Linked DNA regions of Caenorhabditis elegans. The protein of the gene in region 2 purifies or fractionates together with the protein of the main gene of each other region. This does not show direct contact. Each region holds a gene or a part of one and is shown on either strand. Other genes may lie near its edges.

Evidence for each region. The genes of interacting proteins can lie anywhere in the genome.
Region 1: the proteins of dhhc-13 (region 2) and arx-5 fractionate together in Caenorhabditis elegans (co-fractionation; one large-scale study listed by BioGRID). This does not show direct contact.

Annotation. Positions count from the first base shown.
Region 1 is NC_003281.10:12,815,338-12,821,227, forward strand, and holds arx-5 (putative actin-related protein 2/3 complex subunit 3), read right to left. Parts: upstream 2,764-5,890; 5' UTR 2,760-2,763; coding exon 2,651-2,759; intron 2,595-2,650; coding exon 2,521-2,594; intron 2,476-2,520; coding exon 2,401-2,475; intron 1,883-2,400; coding exon 1,589-1,882; 3' UTR 1,452-1,588; downstream 1-1,451. Other genes in the region: BE10.4 (DUF148 domain-containing protein), read left to right, coding at 1-40, 547-684, 1,236-1,373; Y37D8A.25 (PH domain-containing protein), read right to left, coding at 3,387-3,543, 3,676-3,857, 4,809-4,895; Y37D8A.2 (Putative phospholipase B-like 1), read left to right, coding at 4,921-4,989, 5,749-5,873. UniProt on the Caenorhabditis elegans protein: Functions as a component of the Arp2/3 complex which is involved in regulation of actin polymerization and together with an activating nucleation-promoting factor (NPF) mediates the formation of branched actin networks.
Region 2 is NC_003282.8:5,914,269-5,922,988, reverse strand, and holds dhhc-13 (Palmitoyltransferase), read right to left. Parts: upstream 5,664-8,720; 5' UTR 5,617-5,663; coding exon 5,534-5,616; intron 5,474-5,533; exon of another isoform or gene 5,450-5,473; intron 5,370-5,449; coding exon 5,196-5,369; intron 4,940-5,195; exon of another isoform or gene 4,919-4,939; intron 4,780-4,918; coding exon 4,668-4,779; exon of another isoform or gene 4,665-4,667; intron 4,543-4,664; coding exon 4,407-4,542; intron 4,337-4,406; exon of another isoform or gene 4,316-4,336; intron 4,207-4,315; exon of another isoform or gene 4,186-4,206; intron 4,134-4,185; coding exon 3,879-4,133; intron 3,832-3,878; coding exon 3,733-3,831; intron 3,641-3,732; coding exon 3,460-3,640; intron 3,151-3,459; coding exon 3,064-3,150; intron 2,844-3,063; coding exon 2,524-2,843; intron 2,381-2,523; exon of another isoform or gene 2,352-2,380; intron 2,141-2,351; exon of another isoform or gene 2,120-2,140; intron 1,977-2,119; coding exon 1,808-1,976; intron 1,759-1,807; coding exon 1,593-1,758; 3' UTR 1,391-1,592; downstream 1-1,390.

The DNA of each region.
Region 1 (5,890 bases), on a different chromosome or scaffold from region 2:
CACGTTGGCCGAGCAGACATTCTTCGTTTACAAGTTTCATGTGAGCTAGCCCATAGCCTTTTTGAAATTAGCGTGAAAACGCGCTCCACGGCCAATCCGCCCCCGAGCCATGGGTCTCGTTAGGTATCCGGCAGGAAAACTGTAAATTCAATTTTTTGTCGATTTTCAAGCATTTTTTGTCTTTTTTTTTAATGTTTTCGTTGTTTTTAATGAGTTTTACGCCAAAATTACGGGTTTCTGGCTTCCCTCATAAATTTAAATGGAAGAACTTTTTGCCGAACTAGGCCAGTCCATATCTGGGGTAGATTTACGGCGCGTTGCGTGTCGCGTCGCGGCTCGATTTTAGTTTTAAAACTGATGTATTTGTCCGTGTGGAGTACACGACTTCCCATGTCCGGCGAGCGATTGTCAATGGAGCGCGAAAAATTTAATGAGGAAGGCCAGAAGCCCTAACGAGACCCAATTGGCCGTGGAGCGCGTTTCCACATCGATTTCAAACGCTGGATTTTTCTGCGTCTCCATAATAATTACTACTATCAATTTCAGCAACTAAACCCAGTCGACCTGGCGGTTCTAACATCTGCGAAAGCTTCTCTCACCACTGCTCTTTCTGCAACAGACCCGGATGCTTCATTGAGCAAAGCGATGGGCTCATTTAGCCCTCAGGATTTGGAAAGAATGGCTGTAAGTGTTGAAAAATCAAAAAAAAAAAATTTTATTTATTTTTCCAACAAAAAAAATTGAAATTTCCTTCTCTTCTGAATAAAAAATCAGCAATTATTCAAATAAAATAATTTCGCAATATTTTAAAATTCCTTCTTAAAGGCGCACAGGTAAATTCAACTGGGTCTCGGCGCGCAAAAAGTTTATGGTGGTTTTTCTTTTTTATTTTTTTGTTAAAAACTGTTTAAATCAATTTTTATTCATTCTCTGACTGGAAAACGGCAAAAAAACTGATTTAAAACAATTTTTAACAGGAAAAAAGAAAAAAAAGTACCATAAACTTTTTTGCGCGCCGAGACCCATCTGAACAAATCTGTGCGCCTTTAAGACGGAAATCTTGGAAAATTACGGGAAATTAATAGTTTTTTTCCCGATTTTATTTGAAAAAACCTGAAAATTTTTCGATTTTCTAATAAAAAAGGCCTATATTTGGGGTTTTCTGAAAAAAATTCGACTATTTTCCAATTTTCTCGGAGAAAATCTTAAAATTTTCAATTTTTCTCAATTTCCAGGCTCTTCCAGTCTCCCAACTTCCCGAAGAGGTTCGAAGTCACTTGGCACGTTGCCAGATAACTGCTCCAGAAGTCGTACACGATACCGTGGCGTTTTTGTTGTCAGTGATGGGATCCAAGCAGACAAATTATCGGTAGAGCATAGAGATTTCGCGTATTTCGCGCACAACATATTTGACGCGCGCAAAATATGTTGCGTTACCGTAATAAAATGATGAAATCGGAATTTTAATGAATATTTTAAAGCAGCACAAAAAGTAAAACTGGACGCAATATAAATATAATTACATGGAAAAAAAAATGGGAAAAGTGAAAAAATTTTGAGCCAGATACAACAATAATTAATCGATAATTCACAAATTAACACCCTGTCCAACGAGCCCCTTGTCCATGAATCGTCTTCTCGCGAAACAGAGCCACCACTTGCTCGGACGATCTTGGGGATCCGGGAACGCGAGATCACACAGACGGGCGCCGATTTCTTGGCGAATTTGTTGCAAATAGGCACGCATTTCGTCCTCGTCCGGTTTCGATTGGGGCGCCTTGTACATGCTGTTCAGTGGGAATCCATTTTCACCGGGAATTGGAAGCAAATGACTGAGAGCCAAGGCGTGAAGATCCTTTTGGCCGGCTATCTTGTTTGGGCTCTGAAAATTTGAAAAAATTTGCAAAAAAAAAACATGTTTTTACGCTTTATTTCACTCAAAATAGCCCGAAAAGACCGAATTTTGTAACTAGAATTTTTTTTTATAATTTCCAAAATTTTGAGAAAAAAAAAAGTTGGATTTCTCCGAAGAAAATCGGAAAAATTTCGGATTTTTTCAGTGAAAATCGAAAAATTTTCGGATTTTTTCAGGGAAAACCAGAAAAATTTTGGAATTTTCAGGGAATATTAAACAATTTTTAGATTTTTTTCAGGGAAAAACCAAAAAAATTCGATTTTTTCAGAGAAAACCTTAAAATTTGTGGATTTTTCAGAGAAAATTGAAAGAATTTGGGATTTTTTCAGAGAAAATCGAAAATGTTTCGAATTTGAAATTTTCTACTTAAAAAAATCTGTTTTCGGTAGGAATGTTCAAAATATCCATTGAAATTCGGTATGTTTGGGTCTTTTTTTCTTATTTTTCAATCTAAAAAGTAGGTTTTTTTCGTGCAAAATCCGTACTTTTTGCAATTTTCTGAGGCACTCGGTGATGTAGAAGATGAGATAGATCATTGTACGGTCCGCGGGACCTTTGATCTGAAAATTTCTCAATTTTAATAGGGAAAAATCTCGAAAATCAACCTCAAATTCGCGGAAAAAGATGTTCGGCTTGAAGTAGGTGAGCGCTTCGTCGATGATGTCATCCTGATTGGTTTCTGCAATAATTTTAATATATAATATAGGTTTTTTCAATCAATTTTTGAAGACTTACGAGGCGCTGGACCCTTGAAATTGGTTCGAATCGGAAGTTTTCCCATATTTGTGTTGCCCAATGGCAAAACTTTGAGTTCAGTGTCGAATTTTGAGTGGTATGCCGGCATTTCACTGAAAAATAAGTGTTTTGTTTGGAAAAATGCATAGAAAACGGCTTATTTTCGGATACCCGAGGGGGGGGGGGGGTAAGTACATAATGAGTCACTGCGGCTGCGAAAAAAAATCGATAAATTGTGAAATTCGAGTTTTAAATTAAAATATAAGTATTTTATTCGATAAAAATGCAGTTTTTGAAGCGATAATGTCGTTGCGGACGCGAAAATTAAAGTAAAACCCGAAAATACACTTTTATTCGGAAATTCGTGTTAAAATATATGAAAACTTGGAATTAATATGATTAATATCAGCTTACAAGTTTCCTATAATCAGATATTTAAGAAAAATTGGAAAAAATCAAAGATTTTCTGCTTTTTAAACGTTTTTTCTGATGAAATTCTCTCCAGGAACGGAAAAATAAATAATAATCTCGTGTAAGTTTACGGTAAACAAGGCGCGACATCGGAATATCGGAGCATCGTTTGGAAATTTTTAATGAAATTTCGCGATTTTTTGCGAAAAAAACGATAAATTCAGGGAAATTCCAGCTGCAAAACAAAGCAAAAAACGTTAAAAATGTATGATTTATAATCAATAAGTCAAAATATCACAGTGAAAATGTGCAAAATGTATAAAAATCAATCCCTCATCGCTTTCTTCTGAGTTTGCTCGATTTGCTCATGAAAACTTTGTTTCGAGAGCTGTATATAGTCGATCGGGGAGATTGTGAGCAGCGAAACCCAACGTCCCAGCGATTTGAACGAGTCGGCGGCGAAGATGAAGCTTCGAGCAGTTCTGGAAAAAAATCGGATAATTTTAGGAATTTTCAATCGATTTTTCATCGATTTTCGATAAAACCGATAAAAATTCAGTTTTTTTTTGGAATTTAGTATTAATTTTTCGTGTTGAGACCCGGAAAAAACGCACGATTTGAATTTGATTTCAAAAGTGAAATCCTTGCCAATCTTATTCTCATCACATAATTCGATAAAACAGTCTTCAATAATTAGTAGTAAAAATGGAGGAGCCGACGTCTCCTCTTCGGTTTTATTGTACACGAAAAGCATATTGGCCTTGAGAACACCCCAGCCGGCACGCCATTGGAAATCCTGAAAAAAACTTTTTTTTTTAATAAAAAAATCATTTTTTTGATTTTTTAAATTTTCAAATTACTCCAAATTTCCCATATTTTGTTTTAAAAAAATTCAAAAAATTTCAAAAATCTTATATTTCAGCTTGAAAGCGCGAAACAATTTTCAAACTCGCGCCAGAAAAATTCTCATTGGAGCGCGCCATGCCATGTCGATTTACGAGGGGTTTTTTTGCAGCCAAATTCGGTTTTTTAAACCAGTTTTCTTCATTTTCTTCGGTTTTTTTAAATTAAAATGTGTTTTTTCGTGTAAATTTGGGTATTTTATTATTTTAAAAATTGAAAAATCAGTAAGTTTCGTTCACTTTACACGAAATAAATTATATTTCAAAAAAAAAAAATCAAAGAAACTAAAATTTGCAAGTTTCTTTGATTTTTTTGTTGAAAAATTTTTTTTTTCAAATTTTAAAAATCATAAAATTATTTCACATTTTCACTTAAAAAAACGCGAAAAATATAGAAAACTTGTTGAAAAACTGAAATTTGCAAACAAAATCTCTCGTAAATCGACGCGACATGGCGCGCTCCAATGATAATGGCCCTGGCGGATTTTAAGCTGAAATATGATAAAAAATTTCATTTTTTTATTTTTTGGAACTTTTTTGCAATTCCACTTTTATTACGGAACGACTAAATTCTGAAAATGCGTACCACGCAACATATTTGACGCGCAAAATATCTAGATACAGTAAAAAATATTTTGCGCGTCAAATATGTTGTGCAGTGCGCATTTTCGGAATTTTGGGTTCCTGTAATAATACAAGACGATCAAACTCTAAAGCACCTAACAATTGGTTTGATCTCCACGAAAACGCGAAAATATTTATCTTTTTCACGAGGTCAAAGGGTCACGGAGCACCTGACATGTCTGTGGTGCCATGCCCCGTCTCCCGAACAACTGCTTCAGTACCTGCTGCAACTGCAAAGGTCCCGAAAATCTTCTCTCAAACGTCGGATCCGAACCCAGCCGGAATAGTGAATTTGCGTTGGCGAGCATATCGTGTGTGTGGTGCTGCTGGAGAATGAATTGGATTTTTATATTTTTGGCTGCTGCGGTGGCGATTGGTTGTGAGGCGAGACAGGAGAGAACGGTAAGAATTAAAGAAATTTTTTTAGGTGGAGTAGCGCCAGTGGGGGGAAATTGCTTTAAAACACGCCTATGGGGTCACAATAACCGAATATCATGATAAAAAAATTCAAAAAAATTTTCTAAATTTTATATGATTTTTTGAAAATTAAAAAAAAACCAGTTTTCACCTAATTCCTATTCGAATTACCGCCAATTGGATTTGTTCGATGGAGCGCGCTTGCACGATTTTAAATTTATTTATTTTATTTTTTGTTACTTATTTTCCACCGATTTTTAATGTTTTCGGTGTGTATTTTTGCTTGAATTTTGAAGAAAAAGTCAAAATAAATGCAAATTTTCGATTAAAAAGCACGCTTACAGGCGTAAATCAGTGAAATTAATTAATTCAGGTGTGAAATCGTTTAAAAGCGTTACTTTTTCATTTTTACGCCTGTAAGCGTGCTTTTTAATCGAAATTTTGCATTTATTTTGCCTTTTTCTTCAAAATCCAAGCAAAAATACACCGAAAACATTGAAAATCGGTGGAAAATAAGTAACAAAAAATAAAATAAAATAATTAAATTTAAAATCGTGCAAGCGCGCTCCATCGAACAAATCCAATTGGCGGTAATTTGAATAGGAATTAGGCAAAAACTGAGATTTTTTTCAATTTTCAAAAAATCATATAAAATCTAGAAAAATTTTAAAAATTTTTTATCATGATATTCGGTCATTGTGTTACTCCACCTTTAAAAATTTAAAAAAAAAATCAATATTTCAGTACACAGTTTGCCAGAAGCCTGAAGGCGACCTTCATTATTTCAAAGAAGGCCGAAAAACTGACGAAGAGCTGTGTGCAAAACGTCTTGCCACCGCTTATTTCCATGATGAAGTGAACCAAACTGGGTAAAATTGGGCTTAAA
Region 2 (8,720 bases):
GATCGATTATAAAATGTAGACCCGCACGGTGTCGGTCCCTCCAAACAACTGCAATCATTATAAGAACAATTATTTGTTTGTCATATTCTCAGAGATTTTTCAAAAAATTAGATAGAATAAACTTTAAAATTTTGATTTTAGGCAAAATTTAGAGCTTCAGCGAATGGCTGCTGAGTTATCAAGTTTTTTCCCCGGAAAAATGTCAAAAGGTTTGGAAAGAAGACATTGATAAAGATAAAATATTCATCACAGGTGGAGAAGGAAGTGATGAAGTATTCTGAACACAATTTATGAAAATTATAAAGGAGCTGAAACCGTCGATCGAAATGGTGTGAAATGCCGATTAGTTCTAATTTAACTACCACAAATCATGACATGAACCATTTCGACATGTATCATGTCTTTTGTGGTAAATCGGAAGGCGGCAGACCGTAACAAATGAGAGATAGAGTGTGGAAGACGAGAAGACGCAGACAATGAACAAAGAGATCCGCCGACAAGGGCTCCTCTCTCATTGAGTATCAATTTCTACTCGTTTCCACTTGAGCGCCGATCCTTCTGTGTCTCTTGAAACTATATTCTTACTGAGTGAGGGAAGACATCACAGGATGATCAATTGGAGAAGATGGAATCGAAATCCATATTTTTTCTATTACTGTGGCAGAAACTGTAGAAAGTTTTGATGAATATATTATAAGATCTAGTTTGTTTGTTAAAAGTGGTCTGGTAAAGTTCAATTTTAGCAAGATATACTAGAAGCGGATCGAAATAGAATTTTTTCACAGCTTCAACATTGGCATTAACAGTAGATGAATAACTAGTGTGTTAATCCATGAGTCGTTTTGATAGCGTTTTTCTGTGCTTGAACAAACTCTAAAATACTCTAAAAAATCCCTTATTCTCAAATGATAATTTATACAAAATTCCAAAAAAATTATGGAATTGAGAAAAATCAAAAATTTTTACAGCTTCACCTGCATTAACAGCAGATGAATAGCTAATTTTTAATTCAATGTTTAGTTTACATGGGGATTTTCTGTGCTTGAATATAACTTCAAAATTTCACTAAAGTTTTATTATTTTTCAATTTTGCAAGAATTATTTTTGGTGTTTTAACTTTTACGTTATCAGGCTAAATTAATTTAGGCCTCTTTGTTATTCACTAGTGCGGGATCTCAAAATAATTTTGCCCTTTCAATTTTTTTTTTGAAAAACTGAAAACAATCATGAAATATTTAGATGAATTATCAGTTTTTCAATTTATAGTAAGTACGTGGAGACGTTTTCAATTTTCAGACATAATGCTTAAATAATATTGCATACTGTTTCGCATTTCTCATGTAAGTGGAATAACTTTTTCATGAAAGTCTATGTTGGCAATAAGCGGAAAATAATCAGTTTCATTTATTAGTGGACCGATCATAAAAATTTTTTACAAAAATGGACGAAAAAATCAAAAGTGGAATACAAAAACTCGTTTGAAAAATGAGATTCGAGAAAGAATTCAAGACAAATTGGAACTATGAAGATGCTCTAGTCAATATCAATTAAATCATACAACTTAACGAACAGTCTATTTAAAAATGGAAGTTTTAGAAATATGAAGACGATGTTTCGAATGAAGATGATCCATGTCCTTCATCAATTTCTTCTCCATCTCCAAACTTGTCAAATGCCAATAGATTACACACATTTCGAATTCTAGTCTTCACACTTTGTTTGTATTCCCATGGATTATGTTCTGGCGATGTTATGGTCCTGAATAAAACGCCAAAAATATTTATCAAACTTTTTGATAATTACAAACTTTTCACTAGAATTTCTCTGGAGTCTTTGTTTCCGAATAATCTCGATGGTAGAGACATGACGAGAAATTTGTGAGAATTGAGTACAAGTGATGGCTCCGGCTCCGAAAACATGAGGGATTGCGAGGATGAGACTGATTACCATCAAACCATGGTCGTTTAGGGTTTGTTCTGAAAAAATGATTTCCGAATAAAGTTATCGTGTTCGTGACACGAGATTTTATAGCAACTAGTTGAAACAGTAGAAATTTGAAATCGCATGTTTCATATGTTTCATGTTCTCATTTTAACATCGTAAAACTAAAAACCGATAGTAACTTTCCGTCTACGTTAACTTACTAGTTAGCACAGAACTTCACAAATCTTTCAATTTTTTGTGCAACGTTCTTCAGACGCCTTCCTACCTAGACGCCTACCTGATGCCTATTTGTATGAATTTTGGAGCTTTTATTACACTTTGCCGGTTTTCTAAATCAAGATTTTTGAAAATGCGCGTCAAAAAAAAGTCTGGTTGGAAATAATTATTTAATGCCTCAAAAATTGACAGATAATAATCAGCCGAATTCAACAACTTGCCTCCTTCTTCTGGCAACTTTATGGGTTTTACGAAAATGTACTGAGAATGTACAAAACAAAATACAGAGTCTATCTAAATTTATGCAAAAATTTGGATATTTATAACCATTTTTGGCAGTAGCTTGTTCTAAAACTGACTTACCGAATCCGGATGCATTCATGGAGGCACCAATCATGTACAACAACAATAGAACGTAGAACACGTGAAACATGAAGATTGTAAGACAGAAAAACACGAAAGCTCGAAGATTCTTCCGATAGACACATTTGTGAATCCATGGACAATGATGATCAAATCCATCGACACATTTGTCACATTGAGAGCAATGATGAGAGGATGAAGTCTTTGGAATCCAACAAGTAAAACAGTATCTATCGATTTGTTTCTCTTCCAGATCTTTGATGAAATCTTTGAACGGAGTTGTAGAACGAGGAAGGACACCGGGATTTGTTAGGATCAAGCTGAAATCAATGTAATCAATTCTTAAAATTGTTGTAAACATTCTGAAAAAAATACTGTTTCATATAGGTTTTATTAGATTTTCGAACAGATTAGTTTTTAATTCCCAAAAATAATAATGTATTACAAATGTTACGAAACTTTTTGGTATGTAAGATTTGATATAACTTTCACCGTAATCAGACTAATTTTATTTAGAAAATCTATGATTTTGTGACTTACATCCAATAAAACGATGCTGAAATAACCCAAATTGAGCAGACAAAAATCAGAACCGACCAATGAACCAATCCATTTGAATTGAAAATTCTGAATTTTTGGTTTTATTGAATAGTTGAAATAATTCCAGAAGTGAAAATAGGTTTTGACTGTAGGCTTGCCGATTAGTCCTACTCATGCCTCGTGCCTACACCTGCGCCTACTGCCAACTTATACCTGATTCTTCGTTATTTTTGGTCAAATTTTCAAAGTTAATAAGCTGAGTGAATTTACAAACATCTATTGAAAAGTATTACGCCAAATGCAGACAAAGACGCATAGGCGAACTAACTTTAAAGCTAGGAGGTTTTTAAAATTATTACTGTTTCAAACGGTTTCAAATTGTTTTTTGAGACTCACAACAATGCAAATTCAGCAATTCCCATCCAAAAGATATAAGTGACTGGAAGACATCCAAATTGATCCATTTGTCTTCTTTGTACCAAAATAAAAAGCAATAAAGCTGTCAAAGCAAGTCCACCCAAGACCACCCAGAAGTTTGTGAGAAAATATAGACCAGTTGCTGCACCAATCATTACACCTGGAAATATTATACAATAAGTTTTTAGAATATATTGAAAAAAAGTGAGAAAAGTTCACAATCTTTAATGGTGAAATAAAAAGCTAAATAACCTGAAATGGTTGCAGTAAAAAATTGGCCAAGGAACCAGCGAGAGGTAACCTTTTCACAAATTGTACCCAGTTCACAAATATTTCGAGCTGTCACTTGCTCTGAAAACTCTTTTTTTCATTTTATGAAGACATTTTACACTGCTCACTGTCAACTAGATTTCGGAATTTGTTGTCCATCAAATCACGTGCTGAAACCCCATTGTTATCGGTTTTCGTGTCATCTGCTCCAGAACAAATCAGCTCAACAACTCCTTTCAAATTCTGACGAGCAGCTAAAATATGAAGAGCAGTATTCCCCTTCTCATCATCAGTGAAGTCAAGATATGCATCAACTTTTGTGAATATACGAATAGGAAATAGTCCGAAACTCTTATCAGCAGCCATCATAAGTGCCGAACGACCTGGAATTTATTATGGTATGTAAAACTGTAAAATGCGTATAAATGGTTAATAATTCGATGCGACGCACACATATTGTAACTTTAGATTTTGGCTCAATATGTCAAAAACATGAAATAGTGTATAATTTTTGTCAATTTAAAAAATAATTTTAGAATGTGTTGTCCGAAAATATATTTCTGTTCAGAGAGAGAAAAACACAGCATCAGTAATCTATATTCCATTCTGTATCTATTGGCATATTGAAACAGTAGATTTTTTTCCCAAAACCTCACCTAAATTATCTCTCGTATCTTTGATATTATCAAATTTTACGAGCAAATAAGCAATTATAATAAAGTTTCCAGTGCAGGCAGCCAAGTGAAGAGGAGTCTCGCCGTTTATATTTTTAATTGTTGGATCTGCGCCATTCTGAGAAAAAAAATCTTCTTCTAACTTAACTTAACAAGATAACTTTTTTTCAATGTTGGAAATAAATTAAATCATCACCACTTCAAACTCTTTACAATATCCTTTACAAACTAACAGAACAGTACCTTGACAAGAGCCATGACTGCTCCAAATTGTGAATTATAACAGGCCCAGTGAAGAGGTGTCGATTTCATATTTCCTCCAATTAAATTAATGTCAGCGCGATGTGAAAGCAGCCTGGAAGATTATTAATCTTCTCAGAACAAAAAATAACTCGAAATTATTTTATTTTGTCGCTTTTAGACAAGTTGCTTCAAAAAGAAATGAATTACGGTGCACATATGGGACAGTCCCAATGGTGTTTTTTTTTTAATATTCAACAATTATTCTGAGCTTAATGGAACAATTAAAGTTAAGATGATAATATGGTGGAAATGAAACAGTGGAAATTTGCAAATACAAAATGAAAAATTACTAACATTTTTGAAAATACTTATTGTGGAGCACTGAAAGTTCGAACAGAAATAAGTCAAAATCAAACAAATAACGTTTTAAAATCTTGGAATTTACTAAAAGAATTTTGAATATTTCAATGGTTGCAGTTTTCAAACTCTGAATGGTTTGAAAAATAATCCCATCTTCTGAAAACGTACAGTTGAATAATATCCAATTTATTATTAATTGCAGCCCAATGAAGAAGTCCACATCCTTCGTGATCGAATTCATTAGCCGAAACATGTCCATTCAACAGAAATCGAACGGTTTGAATTTCTCCGATTTGGCAGGCACGTACCGCTTGATGCATTTTTGAATCCATTTCTGCGCCACTGCAAGTTGGAAACTATATAGTTTGTAGAAGAGATTTTAAGATTCACACCCAGGAAATAATTTATTTTCTGATTATTTCCGAGTAGCTATTACAACATTAATAATTGCATTAAAAACTGTTTCAAAATATGAAACAAATAAGAAACAGTGAAAAAAGATAAACCTGTTTGTTGTGTTGGAAGTTGTTGAAATTGCTCCAGTGGAAGTTTCAGTTTTCTCTTCAATTGTCGAAAGTCGTCCGGGCATTGGTAATCAATAAATCAATAAATATTGATTTATTTAAAGAGTTACGTGGAATGTCGGAACAAATTAAGTACACGGATCTTTTTTTCACGTTAAAAAACAAAGAATTTTTGAATTTTGTTTACAGTTTCACGCTGTCAATTATTGACAAATCAAAAAATTTCACACGCTTAAATCACCATTATCGTCTCAAAAAAATAAACTTGTTGTAAAATCAAAGAAAATATGAGACAAATGCTCACGTGCTGTGCATGCAATTATGGAAGACGTAGGTAGCCTGGAAGGCAGACAGGCGTTTTTGTGCCTACTTAGATTGTTTTCGGTTCTATAATTCAATGTGTTCTTTGTCATATCAGCAGCTGGAAAACCACTTGAATCGAGTTTTTCAATCATGTTTTGAACTAGAAAAGATCATCCGAATAACGAGGAACGGCAGCTGCAGAAGAGAACACAAAAAACATCGAAAAATAAGGGGATTTGTGTTTTCGAGTTCACAAAAAATCGGATAACATCGTGAAATCTGCCCGATTTGCACATTTTTTACAATCTTAGCTTACTGTAGTTTGAGAAAATTCGAATTTTTAGTTTTTGAAGAGATATTGGGTTGAGAGTTGGTAAATTTATTGTAATTTTTACAGTTACTTTGAAAAATCAGCTGATTTGGAGATTGACTTGAATATAAGGGAATAACAGATTGAGTTGACATATGAATTGTGGTGTTGGAATTGGTAGTAGCAGAATTGATATGAATTTGAACTCCACGTATTTTTTGTACATCTTGTGAAGTTGAAAACGTACTTATTTTGTCTTGTTCAATTCAATTTCAAAATCACCGTGCTGCTTTTTGTAAGTTCTCATAACTTCTTTTTCGGATGAGTCGGAATCGAACCGGAGTTTCCATTTTGTCGAGTGTTGCTCAATGCGATTTGATTCAGTGATTGTTCTCTCTGCGAGGTCGACAATATCGAAGATTGTTCCGAATAGAGCATCGATCGGTCCTTTCCGGATTTCCACAACATTTTCAATGTCGTCTTGTGCTTCTTCATGGAGATCTTTCAGTGTCGATAGACATCTTCCGATTTGCTGGCGAAAGATTAGACTCATCTTGTGCTTTGAAGATTGTAGGATCTTTTTATTTAGTGGTCGCCATGCTAAGGAAATCTTTAAAAGAAAATAACAGGAGAATAAATCGACATATTTTTGATAAATACATACAAAACGAATCATCGAAAAAAAACTCCGAAAATCCCTTTTCGATTTTCCCTTTTTCAATATTCGAGTTTTTCTGAAAAACATCAAAACAATTAAAAAAAAAACTGAAAAAATCGGAAATTTTTTGATTTTTTCCATGGCCATACATTGCATCAGTTTCCATCAGTAAAACTGCCCGGCCTTCTGTTTTTTCAGTTCCACATTTATTTTCTTTGAAGGGCGTTTTCCGGGGGCAATAAATTGGGCTTATTTCAGACTTAAAGCCTGGAGTGATATTAATTCCTAAAATATCAAAAAGCGAGCATAAATATCAGTTCCCCTTACAATTTTACTAAATTCTAGTTTTGAGATGCACAAATTCAGTTTTACAAGGTTTTTCTGCTTCTTCCAACCTTATAAAATAGATGGAGAGTCGTGTCAGAATACAAATTACCTAGTCCACTTCTCCCTCATTCATTTCTCCTTGGGGTTCCTGAAAAAACACATATACCAAACTTCAAAACTCATAAAACTAATCCATCTTCGTGCATTCCTTCAAACTTTTTCCTTCTCCTTCATCACAAATGCTAATTTTTTGTTCTTTCCACCCGCCGCTGGCAGTTTACTTCCTCTCTTTACCACCTTATTCCATAAAATCGTCCTCCGTTCATCATCATTTAAACTGCCCTTTTTCTTCTCTTTTTTTGTCAAGCACATACACACAAAAAAGCGAAGATGAAGAGAGCATCGGAGCGGACGCGCAAGAGCAAAAGAGAGCTCAAATCGCATTTGTCGTCCCTAACTCGTTAGCACTGGACGGAGTAGAGGGAGAAGGAAACGGCAAAAACGACAACGGCACTTTTTTTGGCACTTTTCTATTTTCTCATCAACGAGTCCCTTTTTATCTTATGCTCTGTGTGCATGTGCTCAATTTGATCCAATTTGGTACAAAATGTTCTTCTCGAGCAGTTTAACATTTTGAAAGGCGAGCCATAAACTTCTAAGCCGAATCTGTTGAGAATTTTAAAATCAATGAGTATTGGTTTTCTTTTTGAAACAAGTTACTCTTGTTAGCGTTACAATAACTTTCAATGGGCCATATACATATTCTTGTGTTCTTGCATCATGAAAAAATCACCCATTTATTTATAACCTTACTGAAACAGTTGAAATTTTATGTGAAAATTAACAAAAAATTAACGTCTTATCAAAAATCCACTCCGCAAAAATACTTTTGAAAAGGAAATGAAACAGGGTTTTTATTTTCCAATATTTTTGACTGAATTTCAAGATAATATGAGGCGGCACCAACGCAAACGTAACAAAATTAATGTGTATTCATTTTCTAGTGACCGCTATTAGAAAAGAAGTTACAAATTTGTTTGTTTTCAGCAAGAAACCTATTTTTGCCAAAAGATCAATGCTGTTTGGAGTTTATTTTTCAAAATTATTATAAAATTTTTCTACGGAATCAGATTAAAAAATATAGATTAATTTAGAATTGTGTAAGAAGTAAGGAAAAAATTGGGTACCTCCAAAGAATTGTACTCCACTTTAAATGTTAAAATTTTGCATTTTTCGTGTTACAATAACTTTCATTGAGCCATATTCATATTGCTGCTTTTTCATTTATTATCTGATTTGAATTCATATTGCTGCTGTCTCTAATTAAAATGAATAGTTAGAAAGGGAATTTTTTAAATCTTTTTCAATTTAGAAGAGCTTGCTTTACTGTTACGTTTTTAGTTTTAAATTTGGAATATAAAATCAATCTAACAATAAGCCAAGAAACATAATGCACTTTCATTCGTAACTTTACTGAAACAGTTAAAAATATATGTGAAAATTAACAAATATTATAAAATTAGGTTGCTATTTTTTGAAATGTCATTTTTATTGCAAATTCGCTGCGGAAA